Saccharomyces cerevisiae S288C: one gene and its partner. Changing the gene in region 1 together with any one later gene gives a genetic interaction. Each region holds a gene or a part of one and is shown in the gene's direction. Other genes may lie near its edges.

The links. A genetic interaction does not mean that the proteins touch.
Region 2: of MAL32 (region 1) and MAL11, changing one enhances a phenotype caused by changing the other (phenotypic enhancement), as found in Saccharomyces cerevisiae (one study listed by BioGRID).

Annotation. Positions count from the first base shown.
Region 1 is NC_001134.8:802,884-808,703, forward strand, and holds MAL32 (alpha-glucosidase MAL32), read left to right. Parts: upstream 1-2,467; coding exon 2,468-4,222; downstream 4,223-5,820. Other genes in the region: MAL31 (maltose permease), read right to left, coding at 1-1,592; YBR298C-A (uncharacterized protein), read right to left, coding at 2,152-2,373.
Region 2 is NC_001139.9:1,073,463-1,078,412, reverse strand, and holds MAL11 (alpha-glucoside permease), read left to right. Parts: upstream 1-2,599; coding exon 2,600-4,450; downstream 4,451-4,950. Other genes in the region: alpha-glucosidase MAL12, read right to left, coding at 60-1,814. UniProt on the Saccharomyces cerevisiae protein: High-affinity uptake of alpha-glucosides such as maltose, turanose, isomaltose, alpha-methylglucoside, maltotriose, palatinose, trehalose, melezitose and glucose. Acts with the concomitant transport of protons into the cell (symport system).

The DNA of each region.
Region 1 (5,820 bases):
CAGAAAAAGCCTGATTTAGCACCCCAATTCCATTTCTCTGAGTTCAATTGGTACATGATCAAAACTGTAACTACAACTTGGATCACATTGTAAGCATTACGAGCCAAAATAATTGTTTTGGTTCTTAGCCTTGAAGACGGTATTTCAGACACTAAGCAAAAAACAACAGGTGCAATACCGAGGTTGTAAAAGAACGCGACAACCATTAGAAGAGCACCACTACCCATTTTAGCGCCATGAGTGTCTGAACATCCTAAACCACCGATAATGAAGAACATAATAGCCTGAAAAGCCAGCCCAAAAGCATAAAGGTCAAATCTGCCACAATATTTTGAAGCCCACCAGGATATAAACGTTGCAGCAATACCAAGACAATATTGGATAATACTGAAAGTAAAAGCCGTATCAGTGCTAACACCAGCTTTTTCATAAAAGTAAGTTGAATAACCAATTAATGATGCACCACAGGAGCATTGACCGATCCAACATAAACAAGCTATTCTCGTTCTTCTCCTGTTAATACCATCTTTCACACAATCCCAGTAAGTTCCTTCATCAGACATTTTCTGCTCCTTTTCTATAGTAGTTTTGATTTTATCGAGTTCCATACTCACTAGTAATTCTTTCTCGGGTCCTTTACCACTTAATGTTCTTTCAAGTGATCTCCTCGCTTGATCAATCCTTCCTTTTTTAACCAGCCACCATGGAGACTCTGGTGCAAAAAAAATACCTACCGCCAAAGGAAGGGGCCAGATCCACTGCAAAGCAAAAGGTAGCTTATATCCTAGTTCTGAGTTGGCATATTTGTTCTGGGAATTTTTCATAATACCAGCAGCGAAAAGTTGACCGAACGCCCAACATAAATTAGAATAAGTCGTCAAATAGTATCTTAGGGCCAAAGGACAAATTTCAGAAGCATAAGAAACGGTCAAACATTGGAAACAACCCCATGGCATACCACACAATGCCTGTCCCACGGCAATCATACCCAAACTCTTGCAAAAATACAGAATGAAAATGAAAGCCGCTAAAAAGAACAACGCCATGATCAGAGTGTAACGGTTGCCCATGTAATCTACAGAAGGCCCAGTCATTTGCAAACCGACAATCTCACCTGCCATGTAGCATAGACATAGACCGATTTGCCAGGAAACTGAAATTTCATAATCTCCTGTATTGCTATTCAAAGAACCATATTTTTTTTGAAAAACAGGCAGGGCATAGAAAGCTCCTAGAATGGCTGTGTCATAACCCTCTTGAATCAATGTTGTGGAAACTAATAGTGACCAAGCAGCAGCTTTTGGATATGTCTTCAAAGCTGTCATGAGTGGCATTCCCCTCTCACTTTCATCTGCCTCTTTGGCGTCCTGCATAGCTTCATCGAGAAGGTCGGGGACTTCTTCATTATTATCGTTTGGTATTAGTGAACCTGGACCGTACTCAAGATGGGAAAGATCAAAATCACTTTTCTTACCTTGCTCCTCCATCTCTATCGAGTTGAATTCGGTAGCGTTCACGCCATTCTCGATCTCATCTAAGTGTGAGTCGTTCCTGTCTTTTTTTCTGTTTATTAATGAGGATAATCCCTTCATAGTTAATTAATAGTCTTGGATGTAATTCTTATTGTTATACTGAATACGCTAAAACCACTCACAACAAGTATGGAGTATATTGTGTCTCTTTATATACTGAGTACTTATGCAATATGCGCTCACTCAGGATGAAATGTACACAGCCGAAAGTATATTGAAAGCTGCCTCTGTGGAAACTTCTATCTAATGTTGTCTCCAGATGTAGACTATGAGGCCTGAAGAAGTCTTTAAACACCTGTTGGAGAGTATAAGGAGACTGCTACAACAACGTCTTCCCCACAAAAATTATGTGGAGGCCGGTATGATACCTGCACAAACGTTAAGTTACACATGAAAAAGAGACTGACATAACTTTGATCTCTGAAAATATGTTTTCCCCTGAGTAGCTTCACTGCTTGGATACCAATACGAATAGACCTTGGCTATAGTAAGTTGCATCTGTACCGTAGAGATTCTTGCAACCTCGCTTAAACTCTCGCTTTTATATAATATTTCTCCTTATTGCGCGCTTCGTTGAAAATTTCGCTAAACACGGGGTTTAAGTTTAAGTTTACAGGATTTATCCGGAAGTTTTCGCGGACCCCACACAATTAAGAATTGGCTCGAAGAGTGATAACGCATACTTTTCTTTTCTTTTTTCAGTTCCTAGCGTACCTAACGTAGGTAACATGATTTGGATCGTGGGATGATACAAACAACGTAAGATGAGTAGTTCCTTCCTCAATTCTTCTTTCAGCATCATTTTCTTGAGGCGCTCTGGGCAAGGTATAAAAAGTTCCATTAATACGTCTCTAAAAAATTAAACCATCTATCTCTTAAGCAGTTTTTTTGATAATCTCAAATGTACATCAGTCAAGCGTAACTAAAATACATAAATGACTATTTCTGATCATCCAGAAACAGAACCAAAGTGGTGGAAAGAGGCCACAATCTATCAAATTTACCCAGCAAGTTTTAAAGACTCCAATAACGATGGCTGGGGTGATTTAAAAGGTATCACTTCCAAGTTGCAGTATATTAAAGATCTTGGCGTTGATGCTATTTGGGTTTGTCCGTTTTATGACTCTCCTCAACAAGATATGGGGTATGATATATCTAACTACGAAAAGGTCTGGCCCACATACGGTACCAACGAGGACTGTTTTGAGCTAATTGACAAGACTCATAAGCTGGGTATGAAATTCATCACCGATTTGGTTATCAACCACTGTTCTACAGAACACGAATGGTTCAAAGAGAGCAGATCCTCGAAGACCAATCCGAAGCGTGACTGGTTCTTCTGGAGACCTCCTAAAGGTTATGACGCCGAAGGCAAGCCAATTCCTCCAAACAATTGGAAATCTTTCTTTGGTGGTTCAGCTTGGACTTTTGATGAAACTACAAATGAATTTTACCTCCGTTTGTTTGCGAGTCGTCAAGTTGACTTGAATTGGGAGAATGAAGACTGCAGAAGGGCAATCTTTGAAAGTGCTGTTGGATTTTGGCTGGACCATGGTGTAGATGGTTTTAGAATCGATACCGCTGGTTTGTATTCGAAACGTCCTGGTTTACCAGATTCCCCAATTTTTGACAAAACCTCGAAATTACAACATCCAAATTGGGGGTCTCACAATGGTCCTAGGATTCATGAATATCATCAAGAACTACACAGATTTATGAAAAACAGGGTGAAAGATGGTAGAGAAATAATGACAGTCGGTGAAGTTGCCCATGGAAGTGATAATGCTTTATACACCAGTGCAGCTAGATACGAAGTCAGCGAAGTTTTCTCCTTCACGCACGTTGAACTTGGTACCTCGCCATTTTTCCGTTATAACATAGTGCCCTTCACCTTGAAACAATGGAAAGAAGCCATTGCATCGAACTTTTTGTTCATTAACGGTACTGATAGTTGGGCTACCACCTACATCGAGAATCACGATCAAGCCCGGTCAATTACGAGATTTGCTGACGATTCGCCAAAGTACCGTAAAATATCTGGTAAGCTGTTAACATTGCTAGAATGTTCATTGACAGGTACGTTGTATGTCTATCAAGGTCAGGAGATAGGCCAGATCAATTTCAAGGAATGGCCTATTGAAAAGTATGAGGACGTTGATGTGAAAAACAACTACGAGATTATCAAAAAAAGTTTTGGTAAAAACTCGAAGGAAATGAAGGATTTTTTTAAAGGAATCGCCCTACTTTCTAGAGATCATTCGAGAACTCCCATGCCATGGACGAAAGATAAGCCCAATGCTGGATTTACTGGCCCAGATGTTAAACCTTGGTTTTTCTTGAATGAATCTTTTGAGCAAGGAATCAATGTTGAGCAGGAATCCAGAGATGATGACTCAGTTCTCAATTTTTGGAAAAGGGCCTTGCAAGCCAGAAAGAAATATAAGGAACTTATGATTTATGGTTACGATTTCCAATTCATTGATTTAGACAGTGACCAGATCTTTAGCTTCACTAAAGAGTACGAAGACAAGACGCTGTTTGCTGCTTTGAATTTCAGTGGCGAAGAAATTGAATTCAGCCTCCCAAGAGAAGGTGCTTCTTTATCTTTTATTCTTGGAAATTATGATGATACTGACGTTTCCTCCAGAGTTTTGAAACCATGGGAAGGTAGAATCTACCTCGTCAAATAAAATTAGTGCCGACTTTTTTTTAGCGCGTACTTTAACGAAATAACAGATGATTTTTCACATGATTTTTGTTAGATAAATTTTTTATATGTAAATGATGATAACGTAAAAGCACTGTTGATAATTTGTTTCACCATTATGGGTAAATGTGTTTTTCTACATGATCCTCGTTCATTATGATATTTAGCGTGTATATAAATGTGAATTCCAAATTATTAATGAAGCATAAGAAGCACTATCCTTTCTCTTCGGATGAAAACAAGGGAGAAGAAACCTGTGCTGGTATTAATGCTGGAATGTCTTGCTAAGAATCATACAAGGTGGTAGTTTTATTTAATAAAGAAAAGAAAAGGACTAGATATAAAAAGTGAAATGAATATAAGATAGCGTTAAGAGATGCCCACAGTACTTGACACATAATTTAGCGTTTTCTCGGGAAGCTCTGTGATTTTATGATTCAATAACACAGCGTAATTGATTTCGTGATGGTTCGATCCTATATGTAATCTCATGTAACACTCAGGCGAGTTACAAAATCGATTCAACATTGCCGGCTTATGCGTTTACGTCAAGTCTGAGCATGCCTACCCCCTTCCGAACCCGCCTTTTATTGTCTAGCCTTCAGATGAACTAAACCAATCATCTGTCCATAATCCATATGCTTTAGACAGTGTGATTAAGCAAAAGAAAATAAGCGCATAAGAATCTTGCTACTTCGGTAACTCTACAACATTAACACCCCACAATCAATATATAAAAGCCAACGAAGTGAAGAGAAGAGGTGGAATGACGCTCTTATCCTTTGAGAAATTTGACTACGAAAATCTGTGTCCCCTATGCCATTAGTTATTGAGCTATAACTATATATCAGAGAAGTGTAGTTATTCTTCAGCAACGGGCCTATAATCTGGATACGTATGATTACTTATCGCTGTAATAATTGTAAATTCCTGGAAGAAAAACACATGACCAGAATGATAGACATATTGAAACGGTGAATAAAAGGGAGAAAAAGGCTTAAAGGCTTTCTGTATTAGTAACACTAAGCCCTCTATCAATTTCATCCAAACAGAAAGACTGCAGGTACATCCATAGGATAGAAGTTCTGTATGTAAGCCGCCACTTTTTGTCTCCTTCACTTACCATATAATGAATAGAGAAACGTAGACCTAGGCGGCAACCGTTGCCTAACATACGAAGCGCTGGTGCTGTTCTCCGATTATTAGTATTACAAAAAAAATTATATAATACTTATTAAGATGTTGATTTATCAATTTCCGGTATAGTTTCCGGTATGGCCAGCTTGATCCAGTGGAAGTTCCGCTGTTTCAGAACTAGGGCTTCGTAGCACCTCGAATGCTCATTTATTCTTGTCAACATTTTTGCTGGCAGTGTATAAGACTGTAGGCACCTACAATATACGACTCCGGTATTCGATAAGTCTTTCACTTTCTATTTTAAGAAAAACAGAATCGACAATTTTCCCGTAGCAACCGTTTAGAGCACAAAGATTAGGTGGCCTCTTAACGAGGGTTCAAAGCAAATTTGGTTTTGGCTTTTTCTTGGCCAAAAGCTGCAGCTGCATCTCTGAAGGCACCCTA
Region 2 (4,950 bases), on another chromosome or scaffold:
TGTGAAAAATCATGTGTTATTTCGTTAAAGTACGCGCTAAAAAAAAGCCGGCACTAATTTTATTTGACGAGGTAGATTCTACCTTCCCATGGTTTCAAAACTCTGGAGGAAACGTCAGTATCATCATAATTTCCAAGAATAAAAGATAAAGAAGCACCTTCTCTTGGGAGGCTGAATTCAATTTCTTCGCCACTGAAATTTAAAGCAGCAAACAGCGTCTTGTCTTCGTACTCTTTAGTGAAGCTAAAGATCTGGTCACTGTCTAAATCAATGAATTGGAAATCGTAACCATAAATCATAAGTTCCTTATATTTCTTTCTGGCTTGCAAGGCCCTTTTCCAAAAATTGAGAACTGAGTCATCATCTCTGGATTCCTGCTCAACATTGATTCCTTGCTCGAAAGATTCATTCAAGAGAAACCAAGGTTTAACATCTGGGCCAGTAAATCCAGCATTGGGCTTATCTTTCGTCCATGGCATGGGAGTTCTCGAATGATCTCTAGAAAGTAGGGCGATTCCTTTAAAAAAATCCTTCATTTCCTTCGAGTTTTTACCAAAACTTTTTTTGATAATCTCGTAGTTGTTTTTCACATCAACGTCCTCATACTTTTCAATAGGCCATTCCTTGAAATTGATCTGGCCTATCTCCTGACCTTGATAGACATACAACGTACCTGTCAATGAACATTCTAGCAATGTTAACAGCTTACCAGATATTTTACGGTACTTTGGCGAATCGTCAGCAAATCTCGTAATTGACCGGGCTTGATCGTGATTCTCGATGTAGGTGGTAGCCCAACTATCAGTACCGTTAATGAACAAAAAGTTCGATGCAATGGCTTCTTTCCATTGTTTCAAGGTGAAGGGCACTATGTTATAACGGAAAAATGGCGAGGTACCAACTTCAACGTGCGTGAAGGAGAAAACTTCGCTGACTTCGTATCTAGCTGCACTGGTGTATAAAGCATTATCACTTCCATGGGCAACTTCACCGACTGTCATTATTTCTCTACCATCTTTCACCCTGTTTTTCATAAATCTGTGTAGTTCTTGATGATATTCATGAATCCTAGGACCATTGTGAGACCCCCAATTTGGATGTTGTAATTTCGAGGTTTTGTCAAAAATTGGGGAATCTGGTAAACCAGGACGTTTCGAATACAAACCAGCGGTATCGATTCTAAAACCATCTACACCATGGTCCAGCCAAAATCCAACAGCACTTTCAAAGATTGCCCTTCTGCAGTCTTCATTCTCCCAATTCAAGTCAACTTGACGACTCGCAAACAAACGGAGGTAAAATTCATTTGTAGTTTCATCAAAAGTCCAAGCTGAACCACCAAAGAAAGATTTCCAATTGTTTGGAGGAATTGGCTTGCCTTCGGCGTCATAACCCTTAGGAGGTCTCCAGAAGAACCAGTCACGCTTCGGATTGGTCTTCGAGGATCTGCTCTCTTTGAACCATTCGTGTTCTGTAGAACAGTGGTTGATAACCAAATCGGTGATGAATTTCATACCCAGCTTATGAGTCTTGTCAATTAGCTCAAAACAGTCCTCATTGGTACCATATGTGGGCCAGACCTTTTCGTAGTTGGATATATCATACCCCATATCTTGTTGAGGAGAGTCATAAAACGGACAAACCCAAATAGCATCAACGCCAAGATCTTTAATATACTGCAACTTGGAAGTGATACCTTTTAAATCACCCCAGCCATCGTTATTGGAGTCTTTAAAACTTGCTGGGTAAATTTGATAGATTGTGGCCTCTTTCCACCACTTTGGTTCTGTTTCTGGATGATCAGAAATAGTCATTTATGTAATTTAGTTACGCTTGACTGATGTACATTTGAGATTATCAAAAAAACTGCTTAAGAGATGGATGATTTAATTTTTTAGAGACGTATTAATGGAACTTTTTATACCTTGCCCAGAGCGCCTCAAGAAAATGATGCTGCAAGAAGAATTGAGGAAGGAACTATTCATCTTACGTTGTTTGTATCATCCCACGATCCAAATCATGTTACCTACGTTAGGTACGCTAGGAACTAAAAAAAGAAAAGAAAAGTATGCGTTATCACTCTTCGAGCCAATTCTTAATTGTGTGGGGTCCGCGAAAATTTCCGGATAAATCCTGTAAACTTTAACTTAAACCCCGTGTTTAGCGAAATTTTCAACGAAGCGCGCAATAAGGAGAAATATTATCTAAAAGCGAGAGTTTAAGCGAGTTGCAAGAATCTCTACGGTACAGATGCAACTTACTATAGCCAAGGTCTATTCGTATTACTATGGCAGCGAAAGGAGCTTTAAGGTTTTAATTACCCCATAGCCATAGATTCTACTCGGTCTATCTATCATGTAACACTCCGTTGATGCGTACTAGAAAATGACAACGTACCGGGCTTGAGGGACATACAGAGACAATTACAGTAATCAAGAGTGTACCCAACTTTAACGAACTCAGTAAAAAATAAGGAATGTCGACATCTTAATTTTTTATATAAAGCGGTTTGGTATTGATTGTTTGAAGAATTTTCGGGTTGGTGTTTCTTTCTGATGCTACATAGAAGAACATCAAACAACTAAAAAAATAGTATAATATGAAAAATATCATTTCATTGGTAAGCAAGAAGAAGGCTGCCTCAAAAAATGAGGATAAAAACATTTCTGAGTCTTCAAGAGATATTGTAAACCAACAGGAGGTTTTCAATACTGAAGATTTTGAAGAAGGGAAAAAGGATAGTGCCTTTGAGCTAGACCACTTAGAGTTCACCACCAATTCAGCCCAGTTAGGAGATTCTGACGAAGATAACGAGAATGTGATTAATGAGATGAACGCTACTGATGATGCAAATGAAGCTAACAGCGAGGAAAAAAGCATGACTTTGAAGCAGGCGTTGCTAAAATATCCAAAAGCAGCCCTGTGGTCCATATTAGTGTCTACTACCCTGGTTATGGAAGGTTATGATACCGCACTACTGAGCGCACTGTATGCCCTGCCAGTTTTTCAGAGAAAATTCGGTACTTTGAACGGGGAGGGTTCTTACGAAATTACTTCCCAATGGCAGATTGGTTTAAACATGTGTGTCCTTTGTGGTGAGATGATTGGTTTGCAAATCACGACTTATATGGTTGAATTTATGGGGAATCGTTATACGATGATTACAGCACTTGGTTTGTTAACTGCTTATATCTTTATCCTCTACTACTGTAAAAGTTTAGCTATGATTGCTGTGGGACAAATTCTCTCAGCTATACCATGGGGTTGTTTCCAAAGTTTGGCTGTTACTTATGCTTCGGAAGTTTGCCCTTTAGCATTAAGATATTACATGACCAGTTACTCCAACATTTGTTGGTTATTTGGTCAAATCTTCGCCTCTGGTATTATGAAAAACTCACAAGAGAATTTAGGGAACTCCGACTTGGGCTATAAATTGCCATTTGCTTTACAATGGATTTGGCCTGCTCCTTTAATGATCGGTATCTTTTTCGCTCCTGAGTCGCCCTGGTGGTTGGTGAGAAAGGATAGGGTCGCTGAGGCAAGAAAATCTTTAAGCAGAATTTTGAGTGGTAAAGGCGCCGAGAAGGACATTCAAGTTGATCTTACTTTAAAGCAGATTGAATTGACTATTGAAAAAGAAAGACTTTTAGCATCTAAATCAGGATCATTCTTTAATTGTTTCAAGGGAGTTAATGGAAGAAGAACGAGACTTGCATGTTTAACTTGGGTAGCTCAAAATAGTAGCGGTGCCGTTTTACTTGGTTACTCGACATATTTTTTTGAAAGAGCAGGTATGGCCACCGACAAGGCGTTTACTTTTTCTCTAATTCAGTACTGTCTTGGGTTAGCGGGTACACTTTGCTCCTGGGTAATATCTGGCCGTGTTGGTAGATGGACAATACTGACCTATGGTCTTGCATTTCAAATGGTCTGCTTATTTATTATTGGTGGAATGGGTTTTGGTTCTGGAAGCAGCGCTAGTAATGGTGCCGGTGGTTTATTGCTGGCTTTATCATTCTTTTACAATGCTGGTATCGGTGCAGTTGTTTACTGTATCGTTGCTGAAATTCCATCAGCGGAGTTGAGAACTAAGACTATAGTGCTGGCCCGTATTTGCTACAATCTCATGGCCGTTATTAACGCTATATTAACGCCCTATATGCTAAACGTGAGCGATTGGAACTGGGGTGCCAAAACTGGTCTATACTGGGGTGGTTTCACAGCAGTCACTTTAGCTTGGGTCATCATCGATCTGCCTGAGACAACTGGTAGAACCTTCAGTGAAATTAATGAACTTTTCAACCAAGGGGTTCCTGCCAGAAAATTTGCATCTACTGTGGTTGATCCATTCGGAAAGGGAAAAACTCAACATGATTCGCTAGCTGATGAGAGTATCAGTCAGTCCTCAAGCATAAAACAGCGAGAATTAAATGCAGCTGATAAATGTTAAGTAAAAGGGTTGTTTTTTTTTTTTTGGAAGAAATAAGGAATCCCTTTGACTGCTCCCAAAACCCTCAGCTAGCTCGAGATTTTATATATATACATTTTTTATTTTTCTGTAAAACATTCATATTTACCATTTTTTAAGCAAAATATTGTTAGTAGTTAGTTAAAATAGCCCAAGCAGCAATCAAGCAAATATGAGAGTACTTTTTCTTTAGCACCTGGTACTTGTGCCTGGATATTGATTCGAACAACATGCCAGGTCAACCGTATTCTCAATTAACTGTTACTTTAAATGTCCATACACTTAATAAAAAGAAGGAGAGAATCACGCAAAAATCACATTAAACTATATTATAATGTTTTATGAAGTATTTTTGAAGCATTAATGTGAGAGCTTATAGAGATACGACATTCATAATTCAATGCTTTATTGGGATATACTATGCATATTCTATATGGTTCATGAAATATCTCAAAACATATCACATAGTTTCACAATCGCTT